Linked DNA regions of Ovis aries. The main gene of each other region encodes a partner of the protein of the gene in region 2 in a complex. Links are inferred from orthologs where the notes say so. Each region holds a gene or a part of one and is shown on either strand. Other genes may lie near its edges.

What was found.
Region 1: the proteins of KLB (region 2) and FGF19 are in contact, whole or in part, in a crystal structure (PDB 6NFJ), measured with the Homo sapiens proteins. The link is inferred for Ovis aries from reciprocal best matches to the Homo sapiens genes KLB and FGF19. Residues at the interface, in NP_783864.1 of Homo sapiens: Phe379, Lys380, Val392, Leu394, Trp419, Phe420, Thr421, Asp422, Val425, Thr431, Tyr434, Met435, Asn438, Tyr643, Glu693, Arg696, His743, Asn824, Phe826, Met832, Gln848, Phe849, Leu850, Gln851, Ile853, Leu862, Phe931, Phe942; in NP_005108.1 of Homo sapiens: Leu192, Thr194, Asp195, Ser196, Met197, Pro199, Phe200, Leu202, Val203, Thr204, Ser211, Pro212, Ser213.

The regions. Positions count from the first base shown.
Region 1 is NC_056074.1:43,333,373-43,337,440, reverse strand, and holds the start of FGF19 (fibroblast growth factor 19), read left to right. Parts: upstream 1-1,268; 5' UTR 1,269-1,450; coding exon 1,451-1,691; intron 1,692-2,103; coding exon 2,104-2,207; intron 2,208-4,068. UniProt on the Homo sapiens protein: Involved in the suppression of bile acid biosynthesis through down-regulation of CYP7A1 expression, following positive regulation of the JNK and ERK1/2 cascades. Stimulates glucose uptake in adipocytes. Activity requires the presence of KLB and FGFR4.
Region 2 is NC_056059.1:59,258,464-59,262,710, reverse strand, and holds the start of KLB (beta-klotho), read right to left. Parts: upstream 2,801-4,247; 5' UTR 2,698-2,800; coding exon 1,960-2,697; intron 1-1,959.

The DNA.
Region 1 (4,068 bases), on a different chromosome or scaffold from region 2:
CCCCACATCCTGGAGTTGAGGGGCAGGTGGTTGGAGGAATAATGAGAAAGAACCAGTGTTGAGCAAGGACCCCTCTCTTTCCCCCAGGAGCATTCTCCGGATGTGGTCTTTTTCTGAGCCTCATCAGAAAAGCCATCCGGTTTGTGGGGTCGGGGATGGGGGGGGAGCCTCTTCACTGGGTGGCTCCAGTTTCCCCAACTGGTGCCTCTCCCCCCTTACACGCCCCCCTCTCCGCAAGCAGCGCCCACCACTGCTGCCCTGCCCCTCCCCATCAGGTAAGGAGCTCCCCTGTTCCTGCCCGCCCCCCGCCCCCCGCCCTGCGAACTGCACGCCCAGCCCCTGGAGAAACTCTCAGGGACCCAAGGACAGCACCCACGACGAAAGACACAGCAAAAACAGAGGAGCTTCCCTGCGCTACGCGCCCTGGAAAGTCAGTTTCCCCTTCTGCAGCTTGCAAGCCCACCCTGCCCCACTCCAGGCGCCCTCCTCCCAGGCTCCGGGTCCAGGGACCTCCGCGGGCCGGGCCCGGCCGATACCTGGGCTGAAGCGCCATCTAGCGCTCGCCCGCGCGACCCTATTGTTCCTCCGAGAGCCCAGGTCGCGCCTGGGCAAGCCGGGGGACAAAGTACTGGCGTGGAACGGGGGGCCAGGCAGGAATCTGAAGAACATAAAGCCGGAGAACGTGAGAGGCTCTGAGCTGCAAGGGGAAAATAAATTCCAGTGGACCCCTCTACCCCCGGGGCTTTGAGGGCTGGGATCGTGGCGTGAGCGAGTGGATGTGGATTGTAGGGGAGGGGGCCCCAAAGCCCAGGCGGGGTGTTCCCCACCGGGAGTGAAGGATGCAAAGCTCAGTGTCCCGCGCCCCAGTCTTTGATGTCGGGACCCCGGCTCCGCGCAGCCCCGGCCAGCGCCCGGAGACTAGTGCATTCCCGGGGGAAGGGGGTTGAAGCCAATGGCCTGGGCGCGGGGGTGATGGTGGGCTCCGCCGTCTCCTTCATTTCTTTACACAATCAAACTCGCCCAGACGGGAGCGACCTGGCCTCGCCCCAGCGCCTCCGGGAGGAGCTGCGAAGTTTCCAGCGAAAGAGGGCCTCCTTCTCTTCCAGATCTGGGCGGGGTCACCCGGGCGGGGCCCAGGGAAAGGCTGGGTCGGGGGGCGGGGTGTGAGTGGGTGTGTGCGAGGGGCGGAGGGCTGATGCAATCCCGATAAGGGCTTCGCATCGCGGGCAGACGCGCTATATAAGGTCGCAGGCCGCCAGCCGCCAGCCGCCGCGCCGTCGGAGCTGGAGAGGTGCCCAGGTGCCCAGAGCGTGCAGCGGTCTCCTGTCTCAAGGGCACGGCCACCCCACCTCCGCACGCTCCGTCCCGCAGGGCCTCGGGGCCGCCGCCCAGCCTCCCGCACCCTCACCACCAGATCTGCGCGCAGAGCTCCGAGCCCGAGGGAGGTGCCATGCGGAGCGCTCCGAGCCGGTGCGCCGTGGCCCGCGCCCTGGTGCTGGCCGGCCTCTGGCTGGCCGCAGCCGGGCGCCCCCTGGCCTTCTCGGATGCGGGGCCGCACGTGCACTACGGCTGGGGCGAGTCGGTTCGCCTGCGGCACCTGTATACCGCGGGCCCTCAGGGCCTCTACAGCTGCTTTCTGCGCATCCACTCCGACGGCGCCGTGGACTGCGCGCAGGTCCAGAGCGCGCACAGTGAGTGCCCGCCGGGCCCCCACCCGTCCCAGCGCCCCTTCTTACCTTTGCCCCCTTCTCGCTCCCGGCACCCCGGCTCTTGGCACTTAGCGATCTACTCCCTCCCCGACCCCCCCCCCACCACCTCCGACTGCGGGAGGAGCTGGGGGAGAGGGCACTGGGTGCGTGGACCTACTGCACCGATGCGCTCCCCTCCCCTTCCCCCACTTCGGCTTCCGCGGACCGCTCCCCCACCCCCATTCCGGGGAACTCCAGGTCTTGGCACCTGGGCGTTGCACTCCCATCCCGAGCCTCCAGACAGGGAGAGGGGCTGGGGGCTTGGGGAGGACGGGCCTGTACACCCACCAACCACTTTCAGGAGTTGTGGGCCGCGCGGGTCCCGGCTGCAGTTTTGTGCTGTTTTCCCGCCCAGGTTTGATGGAGATCAGGGCGGTCGCTCTGAGCACCGTGGCCATCAAGGGCGAGCGCAGCGTGCTGTTCCTCTGCATGGACGCCGACGGCAAGATGCAAGGGCTGGTAGGTGTCTCGGTCCGTCTGGACGCGCGGGAGCGCGAGCCTGCGGGCCAGGGGGGCGCGCAGGGCCACGTTCAGTTTCCTTGTTTGCTCTGTCCGGGCCGGTGTGGAACTAGGAGGGGAAGGCGGCGAGGGCCGGATTACTCTTCGGTCCCACTTTCTAATTTGTAAGTTTATGGAGAACGGGTGAGGCCCCGCCTTTGCATTACCCCTAAACTAGAGGCAGGTCCAGTCGGACGGAGGAAGTCGGCGCTTTGATATTAAACGGGGAACCCACCGTGGGCGTTTTCGGCTTCGCCCTGTGCGCGCGTGGCGCTCGCCTTCCCCCCTCTCCTTGCAGTAGTTTTTTTTTTTTTTTTAAGTGGTGGGTGGGGAGGGGGTGGCTGGGGAGGAAAAAAAGAAAAAGGGTGTATCCACAACTTGGATTTTTTTTTTTTTAAAGTCCGAAGAAAAGTTACACTTGGGATTGAAGAGGCTTTTTAAAATTAATTTTTACCCGCTAAAAAATAGATTATTTTGCAGCCGCGTTGGGGTCCTATTTTCGTGGCCGCACTCATCCTGTCGGGCTCACCTGTACGGCAGAGGCCTCTTTGCGTGGCGGTGGGAGGGCAGGCCCAGGTAGCCAGAGACGTCTGGGGGCAGGAAGTGTGCAGATGCTGGCTCTCTGGTCGCCGGAACAAAGGCTGAGAGTTCAAAGGGAACCTGAGCCCCCCGGGCGCGCAGCGGAGGCTGTGTGAGGTCCCGGCCTGGCGAAGGGCCTCAATGCAGCCCTGCTGGGCCGGGGCTCCGATGGAGGGACAGAGGCCAGGGGGCAGCAGGGGGAGGGAAGGGCGCCGGCCCTCCAGGGATGCCCTCCTTTCCGCAGCTCAGATCTCTTTAGTGTCTCAGTGTTTTTTTTTGTGGCTCTGGTGCCCCTTTATTCTGTTTATCCAGAGATAGATAAACCTGCCTCAGGTTTTATGACATCCCGCGTGAAAGGAGGCAAAGAAAGCTGAAACCCAAAGCCACTCCGAGTCCCGGCAGCTGCAACCCATGTGAGGTTTACTTAGGGGTGGTGGGGGCTTCAGCGACAGAGCTACACACACACACACACACACACACACACACACACACACACACACACACACACACCCCCCACAGGGGCAGCTGGGTCTAACCCATCATCATTCTAATCCAGACTGAGGGTCCCTCAACTAAAATCCTGTTCTGCCTCTAGGTCCTGTGGTCACTGTTTAGCAAAACTTGAAGATTAAAAAAAATAAACAATTCCACATCCTCCCAGAAACTTGAAGTCCGTTTCATTCTCTCTTTGGCAAATGAGATGTCAGTTTCTCCTCAAGAACCAGAAGAGTGAAAATAGTCACTCTATTTGATTTTAATTCCCTTGTTTATCAATTTGCATTTCTCCCCTCGGTCTGGTGGCCTTATTCCCCCGCACGGGAGCTGGGCATATTGCTTCATTGGATGCAGGCCTTATCAGGGCCTTATCTAAGCTCACCTGCAGTGAAGCGACCTTTGTAGGCCTGGGCAGAAATGAGACTGGGTGCCTCCCAGGGCAGTTTATGGCCGAGCCCTCTTGGCTCCCCGCCTTTGGCTGTGCTCTTGGGTCTTGAAGACAAACTGACCCTCTACATTTGGGACGCCACCGGCTCACTCTGAATGTTCTGCCTTCCGACTTTGTGGCCACCCACGGGGTGCAGGCTTCCTCCTGGCCTAGGGGGAGGGGGCTGCCTTTATCTCCACGATCCTGGCAGGCTGCCTGGAGGGCAGCTACTGAATAAAGGAGCCAGAGGGACTGAGGTTTCTCTTACCAGAGCTGCAGACAAAAAGGCTCAAGACTACAGTCATTTGGGTCTAAATGGGA
Region 2 (4,247 bases):
CTTACTATCTAATTTTGTGTTACAGACAGAGTTTATTTCAAATTAGAGGAAAATGAAAAATATCTGAAAATATAGCTTTGATAGAATAAGTTTGGAAACATTATCTATTTGTTAATTAAAACTTTTTTTCTGTGTGTTTTTATCAGATAGTTTTTAGGGCTTTAAATTAACCACTGAAACATATTCTTCATGATAATTCTAATTGTTAACATTTTTCCAGGTAGGTGACCAAAAACTTTTTAACAATTTAGAATATTTTTATTTATAAAAAGGTTAAATAAGCATATATGCACACGTGTATATTTGCATAGAAAGCTTTATAAAGACTATATGAGATACTACTAACAGTAGTTTCCTTGAGTTTGGGATTATCAGGTGCAGAGGGAGGGATAAATTTAACTTTTTCACTTTATATCTCAATTTATATGAGCATGTATTATTTTAATAATTTAAAGAACTAAATAAAAGGAATATTTTTCTAAAATATATATGCATAATCTTCATAGTTAATAGCTGTATGCTTTCTCCCCTTTGAGGTCTATTTGCCAAATCACAGTATACCCATACATTAATATTTGTTCTGTATACAAGTACAGTCAAAGGTACATAAATGACCTTGAGATTGTAGTGCAATATGTTAACTGAACTGCAAGGGCAGGTGTGACTGAGACATAGTGCAATGTACATGTACAATGATCCAAAAAGTTCAAAAAGGAAAGAAGGGTTAACAGGTATTTTTGTATGTGAAAATTTAGACATGGAGTAATTTTATGTTCCTATACATTTTTCTGTTTCTATATATTTAACATTTGATTATTAAAACATCAAATTACTTCTCCTAGCACATTATGAAACCCTACTAGTAAAGCTTTTTTCATTTTCAAAATGTAGCAGGTGTCCAGAGTAATTTATTTTTTCCACGTAAACTATTTAGATTAAAAAGTGAAGCCTGATTCTAGATATTACCCTCAATATAAGACAAAACGTGAAAATTCCTGAAAGATTGCTCTTTTAAAAATATTCTTAATATAGATATTCTGTGTTTAATAATATTGTAATTTATAAATTCCATGGTCACAACAGCTCATTTTACTCTGTAACCTTAGGCAACTTATTTAATCTCACTAAGCTTCAGTTTCCTCATCTTTAAAATGGGGATAATAAAGGACCTAGTTCATAAGGTTATTATGAGGATTAAATATGATAATACATATAATATGCTTAATGTCATTTGTGGTAAATAATAAGCTCTCAAAAAATATTAGCTATTATTTTGCTTACATTTCACTATTCTTTTAATCATTTTAGCATTTCCCAACAAAAACTCTAGGTTTTGAAATATACTCCTTTAAAACACTTAGTAGAGCATTTTCTTTCCAGTTGTTATATTACTAGTTTAATTTTAACTCCTAGAGCAAATAGTCTCATCTTTTCTGCCATGTAACACAAAATCAACTGGAATACATTTATTTCAATTCTTGCATTTAATATGTATTATCAATTAGCTAACATTTATCTACCTCATTATTGCTAAATATCACTAAGAATAGCAATATCAACAACAAATACATGTTTGAAATGGTTATGCCTTAACATTAAGTTCTGAATTGGTTGCATATGGTCAGAAAAAGGGTTTCAACAATTAAATTTATGAAGGACTGGCTTTCCACAGAATGAAAGTAAACTCATATTCTCACTTTCTGATGTATAGCTGTAGATTTAAAAATAGTTAATTTAAAAAGTGTAATATTTAAGGAAAATAATTGTGTTAATACAGTAATAAAACATGCACTACCTTAAGTATGAAATCTGAGGATAGAACTTGTGAGTTAGACTACAATTAGTTGAGCTAATTTCAGCAAAAAGTTATTTAAATGAAACATACATTTTCATACAGTTTCTTTTAAACTCCTGCTCTTTATATTCTGAAAGTATACTATGAAGTCAGCTGTACAGTACCTTGATCAGGTTGTGTCCCACGGTGTAGACAGCTGCTAAATTTCCCTTCTCTCCAGGAGCATGGATACCAGTCCCATACCCATGCCAAGCGACTAGATATGGGTTGTGAATTGTAATCCAATATTTGACACGGTCCCCAAATGTCTGGAAACAGTATGTGGCATAGTCATTGAAGAAATCTATTATGGTTTCATTTTTCCACCCCCCATATTTTTCCTGGAGAGCCAAAGGCAAATCCCAATGATATAAAGTAACTATAGGTTCAATGTTTCTAAGTACCAGAGCATTGAGAAGAGTATTGTAATACTGGAGACCTTTCACGTTGACAGCTGATACTATTCCACCTGGGAAAAGCCTTGGCCAGGAAATTGAAAATTGATAGAAAGAAACGCCTATAAAATCCAGGGCTGATAGGTCCTTTTCCAGAAAAATGTAACTGTCACTGGAACTATTCGTGGTGTTGACATTTTTAAGGTGTGATTGGATGAAGTGATCCCATATAGAAGGTCCTTTTCCGTCTGCCTTCCAATTTCCTTCCACTTGAAATGCTCCAGTCCCAACGCCCCAGAAAAAGTTTTTAGGAAAAGTGTCATAGAGAAACAGCTGACTTTCATTTACCGGACTGAAATTAGGATTTTTAGACCATATAGTTCTTCCGTCTCCAGAGAATCCAGTAACAGCTCGTAGGAGAATAAACGCTGACAGGATGACAGATCTTGGCAGTCCCCCGCTGGACATTGTTTTCCTATAGCGTATGTTTCTTTCATCGGTGCTGAAGAAAATCCATTCATTCCCTGGAGATCATGCTGCACAGCCTGGCTTCATTTGCCACTAACTGCTTGACTGTCTTATCAACGCTTCAGTATAAAAGCTTGTGATTGTAAAGCTCTGTCAATGATTAGCTTGAACTGTGAGACTTAGGATGGGTCAGGGAGAGCAACGTAATTTGAGGGAGGTGGCTCTATTGCACTCACCAGCATGTTGCCTTCTCTCTTATTATTGGAAAAATTATATGGAAATGCATCAATGACAAATAGTTCAAATGTATAACTTATATATAAATAAGGAAGGAAATGCCATAGTTTCTTTGTCGACTTTCATAGTGATGAAAATCTTTTCTGGATGTTTTGGACATTATTGAGTAAAGAGTATACCTTTTCTATTTTTGTAGGCTTTGAGTGGTAATTTTATGTTTCACATATCAGAAAAAGCAATTTTATGGACAAATAAACAGCATTCCTATATGCCAATAATAAAGAATTAGAAAACATAAGATATTATACATGCATGAAAATTATAACACATTTAAGAATAATCTTATTAACTACTGTTTATTTTAAGAACATTTAAAAAATGTATTTATAAATTAAAAAATGAAGGAAGAAATATACAGCACTTTCTGGGTGGAAACACTGAATAATTTCCAACTTAATTTATACATTTAATGCACTTTTAACCAAAGTCCTCTGATCCCAAGTTTTAGTTCAACAAAATTATTGTGGAAATTCACTTAAAGAATAAATACACAATAATTGCAAAAAAAAAAACCCACTGAAAAAGAAAATAGTGATGCTGTGTACTGCCTGTAGATATGAAAACATAAAGAAAAATTTAAGGAGCATTGTCTGGAATAAGAATAAATAGAAATAAGTATTGTACAGAACCTATAGCCTCCAAGTGACCTTGGTTATTTGGTCATTAATTAAAATTTTAAAAATTTGAAGCATCACATACTAGTGAGAGGCAGAACGGTTAATGGTTTGGCCTCTACAGTTAGACTGCCTGAGTTTAACGGTTGTGTGGCTGAGGACAAGTTTTTCAGCTTCCTGCACCTCAGTTTCTTTTCATGTACAATAAGGCATAATAATAGTATCAGCTACCTGAATTATTGTGAGATAATACATGTAAAGCACTTTGAATAGACACTGACACATAGTAAGTGCTCAATGAACATCATTCTTATTTCTATGTGAAAAGTGATGATTATTCAAAAATTGGTGCAAGGATTTAGCATAGAAGACACTAAGTTCTGGCTCCTGCCTACATGTTTACCTTCATTTCTCAACCATTAACCACACGATCTGAACCACACGCAACCGTCTTCTCTGCAGCTATAACAGCCTTTAATGAGCTCTGCACACACCCATTGCCCCTACCCCTGTGCCTTGGTCTGTGTGCTCTCTGCATAGATGTGCTCTCCCCACCTCAGTTAGCTCTGGTCTACCCGTTCTGCAAAACTTCAGTACGTCTTCTGGAAAGCCTTTCTGACTCCCCCATTGATTTTATTT